Drosophila melanogaster: one gene and its partner. The protein of the gene in region 1 interacts with the protein of each later gene in a pairwise test. Each region holds a gene or a part of one and is shown on either strand. Other genes may lie near its edges. The genes, in order: CG14191 and Frq2.

The links.
Region 2: the proteins of CG14191 (region 1) and Frq2 interact in a two-hybrid assay, tested with the Drosophila melanogaster proteins (one large-scale study listed by BioGRID).

The regions. Positions count from the first base shown.
Region 1 is NC_004354.4:19,079,765-19,083,236, reverse strand, and holds CG14191 (uncharacterized protein), read right to left. Parts: upstream 1,573-3,472; 5' UTR 1,494-1,572; coding exon 1,488-1,493; intron 1,373-1,487; coding exon 797-1,372; 3' UTR 671-796; downstream 1-670. Other genes in the region: CG7423 (uncharacterized protein), read left to right, coding at 58-432.
Region 2 is NC_004354.4:18,175,852-18,180,926, reverse strand, and holds the start of Frq2 (frequenin 2), read right to left. Parts: upstream 3,316-5,075; 5' UTR 2,836-3,315; intron 2,402-2,835; exon of another isoform or gene 2,243-2,401; coding exon of another isoform or gene 1,493-2,242; exon of another isoform or gene 1,455-1,492; intron 1-1,454. Other genes in the region: andorra, read left to right, coding at 1,493-2,242.

The DNA of each region.
Region 1 (3,472 bases):
GATTTTATGAATCGCATTGCTTAAAATACGGATAAAAACTGAGTCAAACGGATCACGATGGGCGATGGACACAAAATCGAGGACATCATCTGGACAATCAAGAACGGCGTGTACGACGAGGTGGAGCGAATTTTCCTAGCCGGATCGCTTAATGTGAACGATCAGATGGGCGTCCGGTTCCCCTTGCACTACGCCGCCGACTTTGGCCAGCTGAAGCTGCTGGAGTTCTTTGTGCGGATCGGCGCGGAGGTGGACAGGAAGGACAAGTACGGCATCACACCGCTCCTGGCGGCCATATGGGAGGGGCATACACGCTGCGTCGAGTTCCTGCTCCGGATGGGAGCCAGCCGCACGGAGCGCACGCCCGAGGGGCAGAGCTACGCGGAGGCCGCCGAGCAGGAGGACATTAGACGGCTCCTGGCGCGGGACTGAGGTCCTTGGGGATGTCCTCGTAACTCCTGACAGGGCATCATATATGGGAGATCCACCTATTGTACATTTTGCAAATTTTTAGTGTAACCTTTTGATAGGTTCATTTGCTAGCTGACTGATTGTAAGCGATGCATCAGCAGCTCTTACAATCTTGAAAACGAATTTTCTTGGAATTACAAGGTGGATTTATATCGAGAATCTCTATATCGGATTATTACTAAAAAAGAAACATTAGTTTCTGTTTTGATAGTGGAAATGGCTCTTCTATACCGCACTGTTTTATTGGTTAATGTTGGGAAGTATTTACAATTAAGGTCAGTGAGAAACAGTAACAAGTTAGTATCCGTTGACCAACGGAGAGCATTTACCAACTGCTCTGGGCCCAACCGCCCTGAGGAGCCCAACCGCCGGCGGAGTAGCTGGAGGCACCGCCGGAGGAGTATCCACCACCGTGACCACCGCCGTAGCCGCCGCCATACCCGCCGCTCGATCCGGCGTCGGAGATGACCTTGATGATCTTGACGTTGCCACCGCTTCCGTAGCCACCACCGCCGTATCCACCGCCGGATGACCAACCGCCTCCGTGGCCGCCACTGTAACCACCGGAGGAGCCGCCTCCGTAGCCACCTCCATAGCCACCTCCATGGCCACCCCCGTAGCCACCTCCGTAGCCACCACCACCAGCTCCGGAATCGGTGATCACCTTGATGATCTTAATCGTGCTGCCGCCTCCGTGGCCACCGCCGCCGTAGCCACCACCGCCGTAGCCACCACCGCCGTAGCCACCACCTCCTCCATGGCCACCACTGTATCCGCCGCTATATCCTCCTCCTCCTCCGCCGGATGACCAGCCGGAGCTGAGGGCACTACCTCCTGCGCCGCCGCCGCCCAGGAAACCCGCATGGGCCATACTGCACACCGCCAGCAAGCAGACGAAAACCTGCAAGAGATTGGCAGGAAACGCGTTAGTTGAACTCACAAAAGGGTACACATAAAAAAATATTCGAAGAATGGGTTTCACTTTCTGTGAAAGTGTTAATCCGCGATTGGCGCACCTTCATGTTGGCGTGTTTGAGAGTATTGATTGCTTCGGAAGAACTGCGACTGTGTCGGACTGGAAGGGCGATCTTCGACTGTGGTCTGCAGCGTTTTGGCCGCCGCTTTTATGGCCAGCGACTCGGATGCTCGGTAACCAGCTTGGCTCACTTAACCCTGCCCTGCCCCAACAGCTGCGGCGCACAGTGGGTCGAGTCGCGTCCAAACCGGACAGCAAGGCATGGTTACTCACTAATTAATCCATCTCTTGGCGGAGCAAGATATACTTAAGATGTATTCAGCGCAATGAAACAACTCCAATAAAAATCACTAAAGTAATCACTTTAATCGAAAAGTCAAGGAGGTAAATACATACTTTAACATACATTTTTGACGAATATTACCGACTGGTATGCCTTTTGAAATTGTATATTTACAACTTTATATAGTAGTTGATAGTACTACTTTTAATCTCGCGATCATGTTTTATTGATTTTATGGTAATTTAAGACTTCAATTTCCCCCCGTATCTGAGCTTATATACAATAACTTTGTATAATATTTGTTTCCTATTGTTTTTAGTTTTTCACATCGTACACTAAAGGGAAATAAAGTATAATAATTATTAAATTGGCATTTCCCATATATGCCTTTGAGTGATTTCCCCACAATACGGAGAAATAATGTCACTGTGTGGAGTCTGCTCGTGTTTGACACACTAATTGCCGGTCCACGCGATGGTCCGTTTTGAGTTGCGGCATCATCATTACCATGACCATTACCATTACCATCACCAGCGTTGTCCAGTTGTCTGCATGAGGGCAACGGCCCTGACCCCACCCCATCCCCATAACCTCCACGACGCCATTCCATGCACACAGCATCCGATCTCCACCCGCGGCACTGAGCTCTAAGCTCTGCTGCTCCAAGCAGCAGCAAGTTACAAGCCCCACGCTGCGGGCTAATTTATGTCGCGGACTGTACTGTATGTTGCAATCCAGGCAGCCCGGAGCTGTCAAGTGGGCTAACTTGCATCGCCAGGTCGGTTGGAGGAAACCCTTGGCGAAGACGAAGGCACTGCACTTGCCGGGCCAAAAACCTTTCGATGGCGCATTTTCAGCTCGTTATGCAATTCATCGAAATCGACACAAAGTTGCAAAAATAATAAACAATAGCTGCCAGCAACATGATCCAATAAACAGGTAGCGATCGCACCATCATCTAGTGGTGGATATCAAATGGGCGGTGTACCTGGGCATTTTAATAACCAGGTACTTTACTTTAATAGAAATGATCACGCTTAATTATGCTATGTCGCAATATTATTACGAATTCGATGCAAAAAGTGTACTTTTTTTGTTTTTATTGTTATTAGTACCTGGAATTCAATTGCCAGATGGCTGGTGTACCTGTGTGTATTATTATAGTCAGATTCGTCCCAACTTTAAGCACATATAATTATTAGTTTCGTACGACTTTTAATCAATTTTTTTTTGTGTTGTTCCCCAGTTCCAGTTCTTGCACCCTAAGTGGACAAATCAATCTGTGTTTTTGAAGCCACATTTATGTTGAGTAACTTTGCCATCTCTGTACCCAAAACAATTTCGATCTTGATTAATCCGGCCAACGCGATCGCAGCTCCATTAACTTTTGGCCCGCAGTGGCGATGGGTCAAGCAGAATGCTATTAATTGCCGCTCCACCAACTCGATTCGGTTGCAGCAAAAGCTGGTGCTGAAGTTGAAGTTAAAGCCAACCTTCACTTCTCGATCTGATAGATGAGCCATACATTTCCCGCTGATTGTCGGTGATTTCATATTCGGCTGGAATGACTATAATGGCCAACGGCGGCACGATGCTCGAATTATCAAGGAAAACCAATCTAAGGAACATTTTTCTAAGAGGCCAGCACTCGCAGCACTTAAAGATATTCTTATTGCTAAAATGCTAAAAGTGGTGATTTAGCATATTAATCTTTTATTAAAGCTGGAGCATAGCATAGAAAT
Region 2 (5,075 bases), 900 kb from region 1:
CAACTATTGGCATCTATTGTTATCTATACATTAAACTTCATATTTCTTATAAGACTTAACTGCATTTTCAAAATCCTCTTGCCAAACTATAAAACTATAAAGCTGAATATAAAATTTGCCACTTTTAGTGGATAATAGTTATCGGAACTTTAGTGCTGCAAACTCAACATGCCCATTAAAATGAATATGCCATAAAAGCGTATGGCCCAGTTCGGTTTTTCCGATTAACCGGATCCCTGATTGTTTCACTTTTCTTGTGTCTTTGCCATTGAGCCTATCGTGATTTGGCTCTTTTGGGCTCTGGGCTGCTTTCAGCTCCTGATTCCTAATTCCTTCTGGCTTCTTGCCTTTGTGCCTTGTGCTCATCATCATTTGCCGGGGCAGAGAAATCGCAATGGAATCAGATTTTTGCCTCTTTTCTCGAAGGCTAATTGGTGCCCAAATGCCGCCTGCCGAATGATTCTGTTTTCCCCACGAAATGCGAATGGGAATGTAAATGGGGACCAGGATGACGGGGTGACCAGGGGGCGACGTCGTCCATGGGGGCAACTAGCTAAACAACAATTTTAATTGCGACCAGGCAGAGTCAACGTCTGGGACTCGGGCCAAAGGCAAATGAGCGAGCGCTCCAAGAAATATGAACGAGGTCAATGATTGTTTACACTACCCTCGAATGCTGTTTACTTCGGCCCGACGACAGAGGGGGTGAGGGGGTAGAACGGGGGGCATTGGTTGTGTGTGTGGGTGTGTGTGGCAGGTGGCAGTTGGCAGTTGGGGTGGTGGCACGATGGGGTTAGTTCTAGTTGCCAGACACCTTGGAGGCAGCGCCTGCAGCGAATGTCAGTTTGTGGAAAAAAACAAGAAAATGCAGTAATTAGAAAAATACCTAGATATAATTATTTTTCTTATCTTCGTTTGAGTGCATGCAAAGAAATTTAATTCAATGGGGGGTCTTTAGTTCACCACTTGGCACTTCTAAGAAGATTAGCTATAAAAAACTGAGTAAGACTTAAAAAACTTCGTAAGGTGTCTAAAAGTATGCAGCACTAAATTTCTGCATAGAATAAAATAATCATATGTGTAAGCAAAGTTTCGTTAATATTTTTGAATGGGAAATTAAAGTATCCAGTCCACTGTGGCGACTATTAGGCCTCGGGCACATGTGTGTGTGTGTGTGTGTTAGAAAGTGTGTACAAGTATGGAATGCGAGCAAGGGAGAAGGAGATGAAAAACAAAAAGAGAGCGATGCATAAACACTTGCAGGTGCCACTACAGATGCTTCAGTTGTTGCCTCATTTACGTGAACTGTTTAAGGTGAGAACATAAGCTAATCAATAAACCTGCGCGATGAGGTGGTAGTTATGCTCATCCCCAACAAGTAAAGCTACCGGATGGCCAATCAAAGTAGTCGACACGTAGATATTCAGTATTTTCTACATTTTCCACCTTTACACAGTACATAGTATCCAAAATTATTCCCTTCCAGCCCAAGATGAATCGATATCATGAACTCAGCATGTCGTGGGAAATGCTGCGCGATCTCTACGAGACCTGGCTAATCCTGGCCATTGGCATGTTGGTGCGCTGGAATCGCTGGCGTCCGTTGATCCATGGCATGGTATCGCCACTGGATCCATCGCTTAAGCACATCGTGGGCGACAATGAACGCTGGGCGGGAGTCTACTTTGGATGCGGCACACTCATGACCATCATGCAGTATCGATCACTTTGGGTGCGCCGGTGTCGTCACCGCGTCCACATCCTGATGCTGCTGTCCGAAATAATGCTACTGCTCCAGCTGGTGCACTGGATCGACTGCCAGCTGTGGCAATCCTTTCTGAGCCTCTTCGAGGAGCTCTTCATCGCCCTGGGACGCGGTCAATGGGGCTCCTGGATCTTTTGCTGTCCGGCCGCAGTGCGCAATCTGTTCCTGCGTGGCGATGTCTTCGATGTGTTCCGCTTGCTCGCCTCGTTCGCCATCTTCGCCGTGGCCCTAAACTCGACAGCTGGTGAATGGCGGGTGTCCTTGGACTTCCTGCTAATCGGCTATTTCCCAAAAACTTCACTCTGGAGGCAGTCGCTCTATGTGGAATATAGGAGTAAGGGTTTCGAGCCCACGGGCTCGTACGTACTGCTACCACTTCCCCCACCCGAGCTCCTCATCTACAAGCGTATGTGTCGCCTGTGTCTGCAGCAACTTGAAACGAATCCCACTCACCAAAAGATTCAGATGCCTTGTTAAACGAAGGAGCAGTGCAGTTCATTCCTGGCTTCTTTATTTACTGTAGCTGATACGTTTAAATTGAATTAGTTTTCGCATCTTTGGCAAATTCCAATTATACATATATTTTATATCTCTGAATATTCATACAATAAAATCTAGCGTGTGATAAGCTCTTAGAAAGTTTTGATGGCCATCAGTTCTTACTTAGTTCTTTTTCGAGTACATGCATCACTTGGTGTCCTAATGTGATCTTCATGTGATTGATAGCCACAAGCTGCTATAGCGGCGCATCGCAGAACCCAGAAACTATGATTAAAATCGCATTTTCCATGATAAACCGAGGAATGCCAAAGTCATCGACCTAAAACTGTCGTAATAACCGCAGGGTATGTGCCCAAAGATAAATGCAACCGCACGTGGACCGCAAATCGAATGCAACTGCAAGCCAATTGTCAATCGCAAACTGCCACCCAAAATACCACCCATCCATCCTGACCATCAAAACCACCGCGGGAAATCTGCCTAATTATCTGGTTAGCTGGATTCGGATTGGGATTGGGATTGGGAGGTTAGGGGTGATATTGTTTATCCGGGGCTAAGTAACGACATACCTGGCACTCATTTGTGTGGTCATCAAACGCGGCGGTGGGTCTGCGGATTGGTTCGTGTTTGCGATGACAGTAATCGACTGATTAAGCGTAATTATGGATGTAATTTCCACTCAAATATTGAAGGCGAAACAGCAACAAACAGCAGCCAACAATGGACTATAAAGGCCTTTTCACTTTGGCTTTAAAACAAATTGGCTAGCAGTTTAACGCATTAGCGCGCACACTTAATTAGAATTCCCTGGCTGTTTTTTTTTTTTTTAAATTTTTTTTTTTTTTATTTGTTATTTGGCGTTGCTTTTGCTGGCCAAAGTGGGTGGCAAATGGGCGGGTGGTGATTTCCAATATGCACAGCGCACGCGAGCAACCCAAAAAAACAAACAAAAATTCGGAAAAAAATTAAAATAAATAGAGGAAGCCGAAAAAAAACAATGAGGAAACCGAACCGAAACAGAAAATCGAGTCGCGAACATGCAACTTGTGCGAATGGCAATCGAATGCCAGCAGTCGCACAAATGGCCTGGGCCTCAGTCGCAGTCGCCGTCGGCGTTGGCGTCGACGTCAGCAGCGCAGTCGGCGTAGGGATGGGCTGAGGAATTGAGCAATTGAAGAATTTACTTTGCATTTCTTGCAGGTGCCGCCTGTCGTGGTTGGGCTGTGACTAATTATTCAGCAGGTTGCTCTTCCTCTTGGCCTCTGCCTAAATATAGTAAATAATAAAAATTCTGGCGAATAACAAAAGGCAAAGCGGCGGGCAAATAAACAATAAAACGCCTGCCCCTGCTACAGATACAGATACTATATCTAAAGATACAGATAAAGATACGGAGGCGGGCCGGCAGTCAAATCAAACGAACCGTTTATTGGGCTGCTGCTGTTCGTATTTGTATATATATATATATACATGTGTTTAGATCGGTTGAATATAACAACACCTAGGCGAACTCTGCAGACACTATCGCCAAATAGAACCTCTTTAATCCATTCATTTCGATTTTTAGAACTTAAAACACTCAAGTCAGCAAGGAAAAGGCCAAAAGGTCAAATTACTAATTGAATTTAACTATTTAAATATTTCTTAAATCTAATAAACTACTAGGTTTATAGAAATTGGCAATGCTCTTTATTACTTTACAGATGCTAAACCACTTTAAATATTCTCCTTATGTGTTTATCTGTATTGCATTATTTTTTTGTTTTAATTTTTCAAAAAATGTCAAATAAGCGAAAACATTGTCCCCCTTTCACAGAATCGGTATCAATTTGTTTGCCTTTTTATTGCCTTGGATCATCTCTATTCGCTTCGAATAGAGAACAAAACTAGAAGAATCTTTAAGATATTTTTGGCACAATCTTATCATCCAATCTTATTCTACACTCGAATTTAAATAGTTTGTTTTATATTACGCTGGCCAACGGATCAAAAAGCCGCCAAAAAGCAACACTTTCAATATTATAATTAAACATTTGATTTTCGTTTAAATGCCCATAAATCTTCTGTATATACTGTAGTTGTTAAGTTGCCAACAAAGTATTTAAGTTCAAATTCCTGCCAGCATCGAATGCTATTCGAAAAGTAATCTATAATTAAATGCATTGTTCTTCGAAATGAAGCACAAGTTTATAGCTGCTCATACAATACATACACATTGATTGGTTTCTCAATTGCTCTATGTATTCCATCAACTAAATGGTCTCTTAAGATCTCTTTGGAACCGATTAGATTGGTTGAAGTATCTGCCTGCCGATCATTGATTATGACGATCAACTGACGCAGAAGCAGCATTTCCATTTCCCGTTTCAATTTGCAGTTCGCCAGCGAACGCGCGAAGAATAAATTCGCAATTGTGCACGAAAGAGGGGGCCTTAATGGTCGCACCTAAGAGGGGCGCTTTTTTTTGGGGGGGCGGGAGGAGGGGGATAGGGCGATACCGCGTCATCGACGTCGATTGCGGCAGCAACGCCCGCAGCGACTTACTCACTCATGCTGCCTCGAATGCGATGCCGATGCCTAAAGAATCGAATTCGAGACCGAAACAGGCCAATTATAATTACTGTTTATTTATTCTGGTTGTGTAGGTCAGGGGCGTGCCGAAAGGGGGGGGGTGGGTTCTGTAAGAATTGTTTGTTCGAACGTTTGCTCATTGTTTTCGCATTTATTGCTATTTTGTTGTATAGATACATTCGGATACAGATACAGATACAGCCAGAGATGATGCAGCTGCAGATACAGAATCTATTTT